Linked DNA regions of Drosophila melanogaster. The protein of the gene in region 1 interacts with the protein of each later gene in a pairwise test. Each region holds a gene or a part of one and is shown in the gene's direction. Other genes may lie near its edges.

The links.
Region 2: the proteins of Der-2 (region 1) and Herp interact in a two-hybrid assay, tested with the Drosophila melanogaster proteins (one large-scale study listed by BioGRID).

The regions. Positions count from the first base shown.
Region 1 is NT_033777.3:16,481,187-16,487,600, reverse strand, and holds Der-2 (Derlin-2), read left to right. Parts: upstream 1-3,377; 5' UTR 3,378-3,646; coding exon 3,647-3,733; intron 3,734-3,817; coding exon 3,818-4,338; intron 4,339-4,394; coding exon 4,395-4,572; 3' UTR 4,573-4,907; downstream 4,908-6,414. Other genes in the region: Cad89D (cadherin 89D), read left to right, coding at 1-185, 586-654, 768-1,004, 1,669-1,974, 2,058-2,213, 2,310-2,513, 2,578-2,902; Sdhaf3 (succinate dehydrogenase assembly factor 3), read left to right, coding at 5,240-5,321, 5,388-5,497, 5,554-5,724; Dhfr (dihydrofolate reductase), read right to left, coding at 5,742-6,210, 6,261-6,340.
Region 2 is NT_033779.5:7,793,937-7,802,750, reverse strand, and holds Herp (Homocysteine-induced endoplasmic reticulum protein), read left to right. Parts: upstream 1-2,692; 5' UTR 2,693-3,238; coding exon 3,239-3,442; intron 3,443-4,127; coding exon 4,128-4,588; intron 4,589-5,018; coding exon 5,019-5,354; intron 5,355-5,424; coding exon 5,425-5,821; 3' UTR 5,822-6,437; downstream 6,438-8,814. Other genes in the region: Cdc14 (cell division cycle 14), read left to right, coding at 1-264; r2d2, read right to left, coding at 1,240-2,030, 2,104-2,248; LKRSDH (lysine ketoglutarate reductase/saccharopine dehydrogenase), read left to right, coding at 6,917-6,976, 7,098-7,241, 7,983-8,159, 8,225-8,603, 8,668-8,814.

The DNA.
Region 1 (6,414 bases):
AGCGGCATCGTCAACGTGTTCGTCTATATCATCAATGAGGCCAAGCAGGTGCGTCTGGTGGTGGCCGGAATGCCTGTCGAGGTGGAGCGTCGCATTGAGGGCCTAATGGAGGCACTAAGCGATGCCATTGGCAAGGATGTACGTGTCAGACTATTGGAGCCGTATTCTGGAGGGCTAGAGCCTGCGTAAGTAACTATATATCGATTGTAGTCTTAATAAAACAATACCCCATGTAATGATAGTCTGCCAGTGTAAAAGCAGTATTTAGGCATGGTGCTTAGACCATAAGAAGATTTACTACCAATAAACGTCTTTATAAAATCACCACCAATTTAAATGTTAATTTAGATAGATGGTTAGATATAGATTAATGGATCGATAACTTGCCAACAATCCGTTCATGCTTTCTAACCAATTATTTTAAGTACCAGATACAGATACAAGTTATAGGTATAGGTTTAAACTCTCATATTTGATTATTATGTGCAGCTTTTGACCGCATTGCATAACATAATTGGCCATTAGTTGCCATCAAAACACTGCAGTGTCATCACCTAACAGGTTCTCTACCCTCTCCATTTGCAGCACCAATGCCTATATCTATGCCGTCGATCCGCACACGAATTCCATTATGGAAATGGAGCAACTGCAGGAGTAAGTTTTCTCCCATTCCCCACACCGACTCCCTTCCCGGCCCCGGGCGGCATCTAAAATCGATTGACCCAGAACTGCCATGCGAATTAATGGCCTTGAATTGCTTCTTTCAGCGCCCTGGCTGGCCTCCAACTGGACGCACTGCAACTGCAGCAGCAGAAACTCGACGGCGGCAAGCCCATGCCCCGCATCCTCGAGCTGGCCGAGTTTGGGCAGTTGGCCCGACCTGCACACGCCTCCGCGTCCAGTTTCATGGGAGGATTGGAGTTTGTGACGGTGGTTCTGCTTGCGCTGATCAGCCTGGGTGCACTGATAGCCGCCTGCTGCTACGTATGCATGCGCCAAAAACGGTATGAATGACGAGTGCACGAGTGTCATGCAAGTGCAACTGCAACTGCAACCGAAAGACTGCTTACTGGGCGCTCAAATGTAGCTCATAGATGCATTTCATGTTAGCCATAGTTTTAGCCTAAGCTAAAGGCCCGATAATAAATCTTAAGTCAATTGCAAACGTTGTTGTTGCTGCCGCTGCTGCTGTTGGTGTGTTTGTTGCTGCTGCTGCTGCTGCTGCTGCTGCTACTGCTAATGGCCATGATCGTGGCCAAGTTGCTTGATGCCACTGAGTCTGCATAAACCGGCTGGCATTGGGCCTTTCCTGTCCGATTAAATTATAACGGTAAAAAGCAACAAACACAACATCAAATGCAACAATGCAGCAATAGCAACTTGAGGCAATTAGATGAAGATCGTGTGACATCGCTGCAACTACATCCCAAATGGGAAAGCCAATCAAATGGGATGTCATCTCATCAGCTCAGCTCATCCTGCACAGAGAAAAATAAATAATATGTTCGAAGTTATGTTGTTATATTGAAAGGAAACTACGATCAGGTTTAACTATAAATTTACATATTGAAAATGAAAACAAGTAACTATACTAGAGCTTAATGATGATTTAAACGATTGATATGAGCCGTCTAAAACTACTACAAATTCTTCCCGTGTCTCTTGCAGACGTCTCTGGTCTCAGCGTGATTTCTCCGCCTCCGATGCCGGTCTCACCTATACCATCGCTGGCATCGGATCTCCTCGTGGCCAGAAGCAGCGCCGTCAGCGGCAGCAGCGGCACACACAGCGCTGTAGCAAGGGCAGCACGGGCAGCCAACGACCCACCAGTGCCTTCATGCCCGAGTCCGTCTGCTCCTCGGCCCAAACGCAGTCTACGGCCACCGCCACCGAGAAACTGGAGCAGCAGCTGCACCATCACCACCAGCAGCAGGCGATGGCCACACAGCAGCAGCATCATCAGTACCTGAACGAGTGAGTGAATGGCCGTGGTCAAGACCGCGTCTAGTCAAACGTGTTTCCATTCTGGACACTAATTGCCATCATCCCCGAAACAGGCAACAGCGACAGCAAAAGCGCGAGTACATAGACGTTCCTCTTCCCAAGTCCATTGCCAAGGCTGCGGCGGTGACGAGTGGGGGCGATGGAGCTGTGGGCGTCGGGAGCACTCCGTTCGTACTGAAGTACAATGCCTGTCAGCCCGTTAACAATCTGTAAGTCTATAGATTATATTTAATATGGTTTCAAATTTGGCACAATTGTTATGAACTAGACTTAACATACTAAACTGCAACCTATCATCACAACAGTAACAATTACGAAACCTCGCTGTTCTCACTTCACTCGACGGGCCAGGACTCTGGTGTGGAGTTCCTGAGCAGCCGCGAGCTGTACGAGACCTCGCCGGATTCCTTTCAGCACGGAGGCTCTAAGCGCGGCAACAACACGGAAGTTTTATGCCCCAGACATGCGAAGGCCCACTTGGAGCTGCGCCAGCCAAATACGGACAGCAGGTGGGTAGAAGAGTGTGCTTTATTTCGGATTGCCTTCTTAACATTTGAAATCTCATTGCAACAGTGACACCTATGAGGACTCTCTGAAGACGGACGAGCCACTGGTGGCGCATAACTGTCGCAGTGCCAATTGTGAGCACCGCCAGCACCAGCAGCACCCCAGTCACCATCCCCACTACCAGAACACGCGGTTCGAGAAGCGCTCCTGCGTGCGCCACTCCTTCTCCGGGGTCAAGGACGACCTCATGCAGCAGTCACCGCAGATTTCACTGCGTCCCCGGGGCCACGCCCTCCGCAACTCGATGAATGACCTGGAGCAGCGGCTGCACAACCTGGAGCAGTCCTTTCGCCGCCCGCTCGAATTTAGCAAATCTAATTCATTGTTTTAGTTCATTTTTTAGCTAGACAAAACGCAGTGCAATTTTTAGTGTAGTCAACCTAGAATAGACTTTAGATATTAAGAAACAAGTGCAATAAATTTGAGAGATGTTACAATTAATATAGCCCCCAACTCTGAAAAAGAAAGTGATATATTTGAAATCCGGGAAAATCAATTGAGCAGTAGAAAAACTCAAAAGAAAATTTGATTAATTTCCAGTTTAAGTATAAACCCATTGAAGATATGGAAATACAATATATAATAGTATAGAAATTCATTCTGATCATATAGTAGCTTATGGATTTCAAAGTGAAAATCATATTGAACTTATCTGTTATTATAAATATTATTTCCATTCAAATATTGGATGAACTACTCTTCGATAGACGACACAATCTTAAGTTCTTCCTTCTGTTAACCACATAAATAAAATTAATTTAAAGTTTCGTGTCACGATTACGGCTTATCGATATCTGGCGCCAGTGTCACTAGTATTTGTACCATCACTAACCTTGGTCATAAAAATAAAAGCTAGCGTTCCATTTATTTTCCATCGCCCGAGCGCTGTTCCCTATCCATTAACACGTCTCAATCCTGGAGTGCACAACATCCGGTGAGAGGACTACCAAAAAGAGATAGTCCGCCGCTGGTTGTAGGTGAATAAACAGTGAAGAAGCGAAGAGTCCAAAGGATACAATCGCAACCCACTTGCCAAGCTGCACACTTTGAGTCCAACGTTGGAGGAGGAGCCGCCATGAATGCCCTGCGGCAGTTCTACCTGGAGATCCCGGTGGTCACACGAGCCTACACCACGGTCTGCGTGCTGACCACCTTGGCGGTGGTAAGTGTATCCCGTAGTGCGTTCTAAATCGCGGATGACGTGTACGTGTATTATCTTCGATTATATTTTTTGCCAACTTTTAAGCACCTGGACCTGGTGTCGCCGCTGCAGCTCTACTTCAATCCCACGCTGATTGTGCGCAAGTTCCAGATCTGGCGCTTGGCCACCACATTCCTGTACTTTGGCACAATAGGCATCAGTTTCTTTTTCAATATGGTGTTTACATATCGATATTGTCGAATGTTGGAGGACGGATCTTTCCGCGGACGCAGCTCCGACTTTGTCATGATGTTCATCTTTGGCGGCGTGCTAATGACCTTCTTCGGAATCTTCGTCAACCTGTTGTTCCTGGGCCAGGCCTTCACATTAATGCTGGTCTATGTGTGGTCACGACGCAATCCACTGGTGCCAATGAATTTCTTCGGGGTGCTTAACTTCCAGGCGCCGTACCTTCCGTGGGTGCTCCTCTGCTGCTCCATGATTCTGGGAAACACCGTGTGGGTGGATGTCATCGGCATGGGTGTTGGCCACATCTACTACGTGCTGGAGGACGTCTATCCTACACTGTCCAACGGCTACAGACTGATCAAAACCCCCTACTTTTTGTGAGTTTACTTTGAATTGGGATATAACTTTTGCAATAACGACTTGTTGTCCTTAGGAAACGTCTCTTCAATGAGCACATCGAACGCAACTTCCAGGCGGCTGCTGAGGATCGACCTGGCGGATTTCCTTGGGGCGGAGAGGGTCAGCCCCTGCTACCGGAAGAGATTGCGGCTGATGGACAGGATGAGGAGCCAGCGAATCGAGCGGCGCCTGTTGCTGCCGCGCCGCAATAGCAAAACTAGAAAACTTGATTGTTAAAACGTTCTTCTGTTCAAAACGACGACGATGACAACAATGTTGTGTACCCTCCGCCACCTTCTGTTTGGTGCTTGGTGTAATTAGGCGTATAGTAGTGAGAGAAAGGCGTGCAATAGTTAGCCAAAGTTGGTGCAGAGCGTGTGTGTATGTCATTTATTGGTTTGTTTTCTGAAACAGAGCTCATTTTCCATACGAGATGTTCTTTTATTTATAATTTACCCCCAAGGGATGAATCCACGACAGATTGAACCTACACTGCACATGTGATGATTATATATATACAAACCATGCCACAAATAAATCATTATATAAAAAGACCTGCAGTTTTAAAATGCTTGAAATCGCTTGGGGATTGATAAAAAAAAACCATTTGAAAAAAACATTTTCTTTTTACATTATTTGGTTTGCGGAAGTGTGGTTCAATTCGAAGTGCCTAACTTAAATATAATATGAAAATAGCATTGAACTTTTAAAGGTGACAATTCAAATGCGCGCCAAACTTTTAATACGTTGCCACCTGCCAACTCAATTTGACGTTAGCCAACACTGGCTGCGACAAAACAGTTGTTATTCGCTCGTATTTAGTTTTTAGCCGGCTGCTAAATAGTATAGTATTAGTATGTTATATGATATGAACTCAGGATGTCCAGAATTTTGATGAGCCAACTGACCCACCCTCAGAGGGTCCGACTGCTGTACAAAACGATCTTGCGACTGCACAGAGGTAAGATGAAAAATTCCCTATTACTATAAATTGCATGCATTTCAACTAAACTTCTGTACTCCGTAGGACTTCCAGCGGAACTTCGTGCTCTGGGCGATAACTATGTGCGGGACGAGTTCCGGCGACACCTCAAGTGCAATCCCATGGAGGCACAGCTCTTTATGACAGAGTGGGCCGTAAGTTTTACGTAATAAACAAAAAGGCGCCATACTAAGCAAATCTTCCATTGCAGCGATATGCGTCCACAATCACCCAACAACTAGGGATTCGGGGCAAGCCCAAGGGAGAGCTGGGCGAAGAGATTGACCCCAAGACTGTAGAAATGTTGAAAGACGACCAAGTAGTCCAACTATACGAGCTGATGCTGGCGGCCAAGGGAGTAGAAGATGCGCAAGGCAAATAAATCAGTGTATTATTTTATTATGAGTGTTTCTCCAAAATCTTGTACTCGAATTTAATGCCATTCTCCTCCTGCACACCCAGTGGCATGTCGGAATCGGGCGCGACCTCTCGAAAGCTGTCAGGGATCGCGGGGAAAAAGGTGTCGCAATCGAACTTCTGCATTATTTTGGTAATGTACAGCCGGTGACACCTTGGCGAGGCCATGGCCTCCTCGTAGACTCCACTACCGCCCACAATCCAAATGTTCTCCACTTCGTTCTGCTCCTCAAGGATCTTCATGGCCGTCTCGAGATTGGGGCACAATAGTACTCCCTTGGGCAGATCACTTTCCTGAAGTGTGGTGCTCAGCACTATGTTCAGCCGATCGGGAAGAGGCCTCTTGCTTTCCGGCACTCCGAAGTAGGTTTTCCTGCCCATTACCACGGCATTTTGCTTGGTGGGATCACTTGTTCGCTTGGTGGTGCGGCTGAAGTACTTCAGCTCAGATCTGATGGTACAAAAGCTTTAGCTGCGGTTCAATCCTTGTTACCAACTTACTTAATGCGCCATGGTAGATCGCCTCTGATGCCGATTCCGAAATTCTCGCAAACTGCCACGATTAAATTGAATCGAAGCATCCTTAATCCTTACTGAGAAAGCATAAGCTTGAAAATTATCTTCCAAGCTATAAAATTCAAACAGCTGATCAAGG
Region 2 (8,814 bases), on another chromosome or scaffold:
AGCAGCAACAGCGGCAGCTTCAAGCTTTCCCGGCGCCTTTTCGGTGAGTCCGGCTCCTCAGCATCGACGTCCGCCTCAAATTCGGGTATTCCCACACCCACGGCGCCGCCCTCCTCCAGCCAGTGGCAACAGCACCTGGTACGCGGTGTGAGTCGTGCGTCCAGCGAAAAGGATCGGGATCGGGAGCGACAGCAACAACAACAACAACAGTCTCTGGACCATCAACAATCCAATCTCAAGCTGCGCAAGAAGATTAGCTATTGAACACTAATCATATATTGTTTCCTTTAGTTGTGTAAATATTATTTTGACTAGTAAATTGAACGTTTCCCGATGAGATGATGAGATTGATGTGGCGAATGCAATGATTTTTTAGATATTCCAATGCAATCAAATTTGGTGATTGATTAGGAAATTATTTGCAATAACAATCTCATTTATACACTTACATTTTTTTTTAGGAAAACATTTCAAATTGTTATGGATTTGTTATTTAACATATTGTACTAATATAAGATAACCCATTAAAAGGCAAGCAATTGACATTGAAATTGTTAATACATTGTTGAAAGTTTTTAAGAGGAACGCTTAGTTTTCATTTTAGCATTGTGTTGTAAAAATAAAATCAAAAATGCTGAAGACTACGAAGCACTTTATTTATTTTAGACTGAAACCCCTTTTATTCGTATAAAAGTTGTACTTGTAAAAAAAAAAAGAAATGCAGCATTTTTACCATTTTTTTCCGTCAAATTATTTAAAATATTTGTTTCAAGTAAGTCTTTGATTACTAGCATTCCTTTTAAAGGCAAATGTTCAGATTTTTAATTTCACTGTGCAATACATATTTATGTAAATTGCTTCAAATATTTTATAATCAGTTGTTGCAAACAATAAGTTCGGACCGTATAAATACTTTACATTTTAATAGAATTAACATTGGTATTGGCATCGAAAAGTAATTAATAATATCATTATGTTATACCTTCTCGAAAGTAAAAGTTGTTGTACCCACTCCCCTTACTTATTTCCTTGGATTTTTTACACCTATCTCAATCGTGTACAAAGTTAACATAGATGTTTACTAAAAGACCTTGAAAATAATTTTTTTATGTTTCCCACCTACAAATTGGTGGAGATTGTATTAATCGTAAGATTAAATGAAATATGTGCATTCTAGAGTGTAAATAAAACGAGTTTACTTAGTTTTAAGCTAGAATAGTTGAATAAATGTTATACGCATTAAATCAACATGGTGCGAAAATAGTCTATTATATGGTCGTAGATATCGGTCTCCTTTGCCATAAGGACCACGTCGAATGCACAATTAAGCTCGACGCTAAGCAAGGGAACCAACGATGAAGATTCCACTTCACTGATTTTGGGTGTTATCTTTAAAGAGCTCATTACGTCCATAGCCTTATCCTTGGAGCTCTCGTATTCATCTGAATTGATGGCCTCAATGGCCTCCTTTTTCAGGGTAGGATAGAAGTTCTTGAAGTAGTTGTGTCGGTCGCAGAGCCGCATGCCTGTATGGTCTACGCTCCCGGCTTCCTTCAACTCCCAGTAGGTGGTAAATTTCTTTCTGCGCAATGCCTCCAATTCCTCCATAGATTCTTCCATATCAACAACTTTCAATTTGCTTGTGCTCGCTACTTGCATTTGATCCGGACGCAAATTGTCCGAATTGCTGGAGATTAAGGCCAGCATTTCAATGGCCGCTCGCTGACGGGCATCCTTCTTTTTGTCCGACTTTCCGTAGCGTACTATGGAGGCCACGGAGCAACAGGCCACGAATTCCGGGGCGCTCGGGGTGCCGCTTTGCTGCACTACCTCAATGCAGGGCAGTGGCATCTCGCGGCGGACGCAGTAGTCACGCAGCTCCTTCACCATGTCCCGGTTGAGGTTAGTCAGTTCCTCATCCAGATCACCCACAGTCGAATCCTTCATCAAGCCGTGTATGCCGGGCAGCAGTTGGATTTTACGCAAGATATTGCTGGCAGCCAGGTGTTTGGCATCACGCTTCGAACGCCCTAGAATTGGATAAATATGTGGCGGTTTAGATACGAATATAAATAGTGGTTGAGATTTGTAATTTAAATTTACCATTTCCAAGGGCCTCTATCTCCAATAGTTCAACTTTACAGACGTACCCTCCGTCTTCGCCGGGAATAAAACTGTATGTTGGTAGATTAATCTGTGTCCGGGCACAAAACTCCTGTAGAGCAGATACGGCTGACTTGTTATCCATGAGTTCAAGGGGAAAAGGCACGTCGGACGTGCTAACATTCAACAGAATATAACCATATATATAATTTATAAAATATCTAAAGCACTGCAATGTTATTAGAGATGGCACGCGAATCACGAAGCGGCAACGATAGAATAGGAAATCTTGACGAAGACATCTGTAAATGAATTATTTTATGCCGCTTTGTCAAAAAAATATTTTCACGAAATAGTATTGAATTCGTAATTCGAATACGAAAACAGCGGCAAACCTTCTTAACTTTTTTACTAAGGAGCAAATGCATTTTATATGCTATTCGGTGTTTTCATTCAAAGTTCAACGTCTGAAGTGTTATACATAATCGACACGTCACGATGACGCGAGTTGGCATCCCCGTAAGTCAAGGCAACCCTGTTGCGTAGTATATGGCATTAACAAGTGTTGCTGTCAGTGATGAGCAAAATCCACAACTGCAAATAACTAGATACCGTATATTTTTCAAAGGAATAAATTCTAAAAACACTAAAACCAAGTGTTTGAGCAACGACTTTAATATTTTCCAACTGTGTACTTAAATTGCCACATCCCACACACTTTGGAAAATCAATTCTCAGCTGTTTGTGCAACCTGCGACTTAAAAATACCTGCTACTCGCGGCAGCCCTGTGACCGACGCTCATCACTTGCCACAGGTCAGAACCAAATGAAGAGTAGTTTTTGATCAACTGCGGAACGTTTACTGCGTTTCATAATCAATAACTCTGTGCTGCGAGCAAAACACCACAGAACGAACAGCTGTTGAAAACCAAACAATAGCATAATACCAAATTAAATGTCAAATTCAGAATAAACTATTTCTCGAAAATACGCAGAGAGCAGAGCGGAGTAGGAAGTGAGAAACAGTGGCTGCGTAAAAAGTGTCCCCGCTAGCGCAGCAAAAACCCATCACCGATCTTCGTATCGCGGTCATTAATTAGCAATAGAAAGTTCTCCGATTCGCGGGGTCAGCCAGATGGAGGAGAACGCCGCCCCACCCGCAGCCGCAACAGCCGCGGGCTGCGATGCCGCCACCCGTCAAAAGAATCCGGAAACCAGTGTCCGGCTGCTCATCAAGTCGTCCAACCAGCAGTATGAGGATCTCAATGTGGACTCCGATCTCTGCTGGACGGTCCAGAGGCTGAAGAAGCACCTATCTCTTATCTATCCTGGCAAACCGGTGGGTTATCGAGTTGGTTCCCCCCCTTGTTATCGTATAGGTAGAAAACTGGCCAGGAGCCCCATTATCTTATCGAGAAGTTTGTTATTGTTTATCATCTTCGTTTAGGATTCATAGGTGTGTCGGTTCCCAAAGCTATTTGCGTCTTAGTCGCAAGTACACGTCAGTGGATTGCTCCTCTAAATTATAGTCGCCGTCATGCACTTGCGTCATGCACTTGGTCTATGCCAAATCGATGGGTCGGAACTGGGAACTGGGATTAATTTGGTTACGGTTAGAAAGTGATAAGATTTTTGGACATATTCACGCTCCACTCATGTGCCAAGTTTTTTATGTACATATGTACATCCCACATATCAATATCACTGATATATACTAAAGATTCAGATCATTGCAGGCAGAAAAAATACATTAGCACTCTTTATTTCCAGAGCAAATCAAGTAGAATTTATAAAAATTTATTTAGTTTCAAGTATCATTTCCATAAAGTCAACTGACAAGTACAAGTTGTTATCTCTTGGAGTGTGCAAATAAATAGATTTAGGCACTGTTTGATAGTATAAATTTCGCGCGGAGGTAAAAGCAACAATGAGTTATCTCTAGGTTCCCTCTGAATACCTATAATGTGAAATTTTATGTTTTATGTTTTGACCACTATAACTATTTCTTTCCATTTTTTCTGTAGTTAATCCAGGACCAGAAACTTATTTACTCGGGCAAGCTATTAGATGACTCCCAAAAGATATCTGAGGTGATACGCAGCTACAAGGATGTCTACCAACAGCACCACATATTTCACTTGGTGTGTGCCAGCAAGCAAGTGATAAGGCCGGCTGCCAAAGCCCCCACTGTTCCGCAGAAGGATGCGGTTCCAGCTGGGCCCGAGGTCACTGGGAATGCAAATGAGCTGCGACAACGTCATGCTCCACATCAGCAGCAGGCACAGCAGGGCAACGCTGGACCACACGTGACGGGTGACATCGGTTTGGCCAATCCCTGGACACACTTCTGGCAGCAGAGCCAGGGAGCAGCACCTGCTGCCAATGCCAGTGCCAGTCCCCATGCTTTGTTCCAGCAGCAGGCGCTCATCTACAACGCCTGGATGCAGCAGGCTTACGCGCAGTACATGCAGCAGTTGACTCTACGGTAAGTGAACAGAACCAGAAGGCTAAAGGAACACACTTGATCCAACAATTAATTCACTGATATCAGAAGCGAGCGAATCAAATTACACAGAGCTCGATAGCGAATACATTTTATTTTTCTCAGAAGGAGAAACACTTGTATTTAGTCACTCTTAAGAGGTACTTTATTATTCAAGTGAGATCAAAATGCTGTTTTAGCATTTTTAAAGTTGTTTCTTGATTATTTATAATCTTTTTATTATTTTGGTTATCAGGCGTGCTAAAATTGTAGTATACTTGTATGGCCACGATTACAGTTAAATAATATAATTTTGGGGTCGCTCCCGAAGAATTTATTGTGCGCAATTAAGTTTTGCATGTAAACGAACAATTATTTTCTATAATATTGAATGCTATGATTCTTACACAACAATCTTATATTATACCCACAGTTCTACGTTGCCCGGTTCGAACCAATCTGGCTTGCCGCCACCGACTCAACCCCTGTTGCCCTCAGTCCCACTGATTGCTGGGCGAAACTTCGGGGAGGTACAACAAGTGGCAGGAGCAGCTGCTGCCCCAGCGGCACAGGTACCTGCTGATCCTCAGATTAATGGAGCGCCGCAGAACAGAAATTTTCCCAACATTCAGGAGGAACCGGAAATGCACGACTGGCTGGATAGTTTCTTTAGCTTTACGCGATTGGCCATTTTTGTGACTGTCCTGTACTTTAACTCCTCAGCGCTGCGTTGTTTACTGGTGGTGCTCATCGCGGGTGCGATTTATCTGTAAGTACATTTCCTCTTTGATTCGAATTGAAAAGTTTACACATATATTGAAATTATAATTGTTTGTTAGATATCACATTGGTGTCCTTCGACGTCGCCGCGAGCGGAACAATAACAACATAAATCGTAACAATAATGCTGGCGATGCGGCCGCCTTTGCTGCAGTGCAGCAAATTCAGCGCATGATGGATGCGGCCGTGCAGCGGGAGAACAACGATCCCCAGGCGGCCAATGAGCCTGGTGCAGTGCCAGCGGCTGGACCTGCTGCTGCTGGTGAACAAGATGCAATCGATGCACCTCCGGCTGGGGCTCCCGTTGCTCCAGCATCCGCTGCTAATCCAGAACCGACTGACGTTTCCGCGGAAGCTGTGGAACCACCAAATGCCAATAATTCTGTGATTTCCGTTGTGCGCACCTTTGTCATCACGTTCTTCACCTCGCTGCTGCCCGAGGCGCCGGCGCTCTAGAGGATCGAACTGTACGTTATACAGAGGGACGTGTTTGACCATCCACAAACCAGCTTTACAGCTTTACGGCTTTCCTCTTTTAAAACTCCCATAATCAAACTGTTATTCCGTTTTCCTTTTGAGTTTTGTGCATACCTGAGAATGTAGCAAAAACAAACAATTTGTTTTACTAGCTGTAATAATCATGTATATTTATTTCCGAGTGTTAGCCAAGTTACAACATGGTGACTGCTGCCTCAATAGCTCGTAGAATTTTAGATATCTAAGAACGTACTCTGTTTTTGATGTGAATAGTAGAATGTTTATAATCTGCACTGCAATCTGTGCTAGAGACGAACCTATGAAACCAAGATGCAATTAAAATAAAACGTATGCTTTAACACCAAAAACCGAAATCGAAAAGTGGTGTTTACAAGGTGCAATTTTATCTATAAAAAATATATCTACGATTTAAATGAAGAACATACTGTTTTTAAATGTTTTCAACATCATTGGCATTGTTTTTAAAATCTTAAAAGAATCTTTAATTTAATAACATATAGACATATGAACATATGCATAGACACATATTGACTATTAAAAAATATATTTTTAAAATTTAAAATGTTATTATTTTAAACAATTTTGAATGATTCAATAAGGAAATAATCGGTTTTTTCCCGAAAATTTGTATAAGAATTGCATTGTGTAAACAGCGCTTGAGGAATTTTCCCCGGACGATTCTCTTAATTCTTAGAAACTTCTCTTATCAAAGTGGAAAATTTTCAGCCGAAAATCGAACGGAGATCCGGATTCCCTCACGGGTAAGTGACAATCACCAGCAGCTCGCTCTTTTTGCCCAGCTAACGCACAAAATTGGTTTCTTTTAGCTGCGATGAGATGCATGGAGAGCACGGCTTATCGCTGGATTTACGACTGGGTCCAACTGCTGATTAGAGGCTGTTTCGCTGACTGCCTCCATCGATGCCTTTAGAAGAGTACCAGAGCTCGGAGCCAACGGATCGGATCATTCCACTCAGGCCAAGAATAAGCACAACGGTTACAATTAAATTCGCACTTCATCTGCTCGAACTGATCCCACAAAGCTGCCGAAACATGTGGCGAGTGATTCAACTGCGCGCAACAATCGCGCATCCGTTCACCAGACAACGTCATGTGAGTTGATTCAACTCCCCAATTGCAGCCACATTGAATAATCGCATTCATACGAATGTAAAAGATATTAATTTTTAAAATATATATACTAAATAAATATCCCAATCTTTTGCTCTTTCAGAGTCGAGTGATTGCCATTCGGCGAGAGGATCAGTCGGTGTGGGAGCGACGAGCTCCGTTTGGACCAACCCACGTCCAGAAGTTGGTCAAGCAGAATGTCAAGGTCATAGTGCAGCCGTCCAATCGTCGTGCCTACCCCATGCAGGTGAGCTCAATTTGAAATTAAAATTTCGTCACATTATCCATAGGTTGTAACTTTCCATGGCCAGTTGGCAACGGATTTATTGAGTCTGCAGGGCTAATCGCCCATGGAAATCATATCGGTCGGTAGTCGTCAGGGCAACAAGTACGCGTGTATAGGTAGCATAGTATGGTATTTATATGGTATGGAGGCACACACGCCCCCCAAGTGCTGCATCATAAATATAAACTCGGATGATAAGCCTCCATGGAGCTCTAAATTTGGCAATTGGCCCGGCCTTGAAATCGAGTACAAAACAAACGACGAGGAGAGGAAAAACAATGGGAAGCAAAGCTTATCGTTTGCAGCAATGATTTCAAGGAATCTATATAATGTATTAAGGTGATTTTTAGAGTTGATAACATTTTCAAAGGGTCACGTGAGAAAGAACTAAACTAACTAAAATAATTTTTGAAGAAGGTAAAGCACTTAATTTAAAGTACCCCACTGACACACCCCAACAGTAAATGCAATTACAAAACGATTAGCAAATGGTACTGGAAAAAATTAGAAAACCTAATCAGATTTAATTAAGTTGAGGGGCAAGGGGATTAAATGTTTCACACGTGTATAGTACAATCATCATCTTTCGCCTGATGCATTGTAAAGATTACCACGTAGCAGGATGAATAGAATAGATAAGCGGGGCACTTAACTAAATAAAAACAAATAATAACATTGAGTTGATTTGTTTTTCCGGAACAGGCCTACATGCAGGCTGGAGCTCATATTCAGGAGGACATCAGTGATGCTTCGGTGATATTCGGAGTGAAACAGGTGCCCATAGATGCACTGATTCCTGGGAAGACCTACTGCTTCTTTTCGCACACGATTAAAGCGCAGGAATCAAATATGCCGCTTTTGGATGCTATTTTGGAGAAGGTTCCTATCACACATAAGAGTTAAATGAAGTTTTTCATATTATATTGCCACTGTTTTATCCATAGAAAATTCGGCTCATCGACTATGAGCGAATCATCGACGAACGCGGAGCACGACAGGTGGCCTTTGGCAAATATGCCGGAGTGGCTGGCATGGTGAACATCCTGCACGGCATTGGACTGCGTCTTTTGGCCCTGGGACATCATACACCATTCATGCACATTGGACCCGCTCATAACTATCGCAATTCCTCGATGGCTCGCCAGGCAATCCGGGATTGTGGCTACGAGATCTCGCTTGGCATGATGCCCAAGTCCATTGGACCACTTACATTTGTGTTCACTGGCTCTGGAAATGTTTCCCAAGGTGCCCAGGAGGTGTTCTCCGAGCTGCCCATTGAGTATGTTCCACCGGAGATGCTACGCAAGGTGGCCGAACATGGAAGTGAGTCAAGTGGAATCCTGCATTAGTTAATTCTGAATGAACTACAATTTGTATTTAACGTTAGATCAAAATAAGCTTTACGGCTGCGAGGTGAGCCGATCGGATCATCTGGAGCGTCGTGAGGGCGGCGGATTTGATGCCAAGGAATACGATGAGTTCCCCGAACGATACATCTCCACCTTTAGCACGAAGATAGCTCCGTACGCATCGG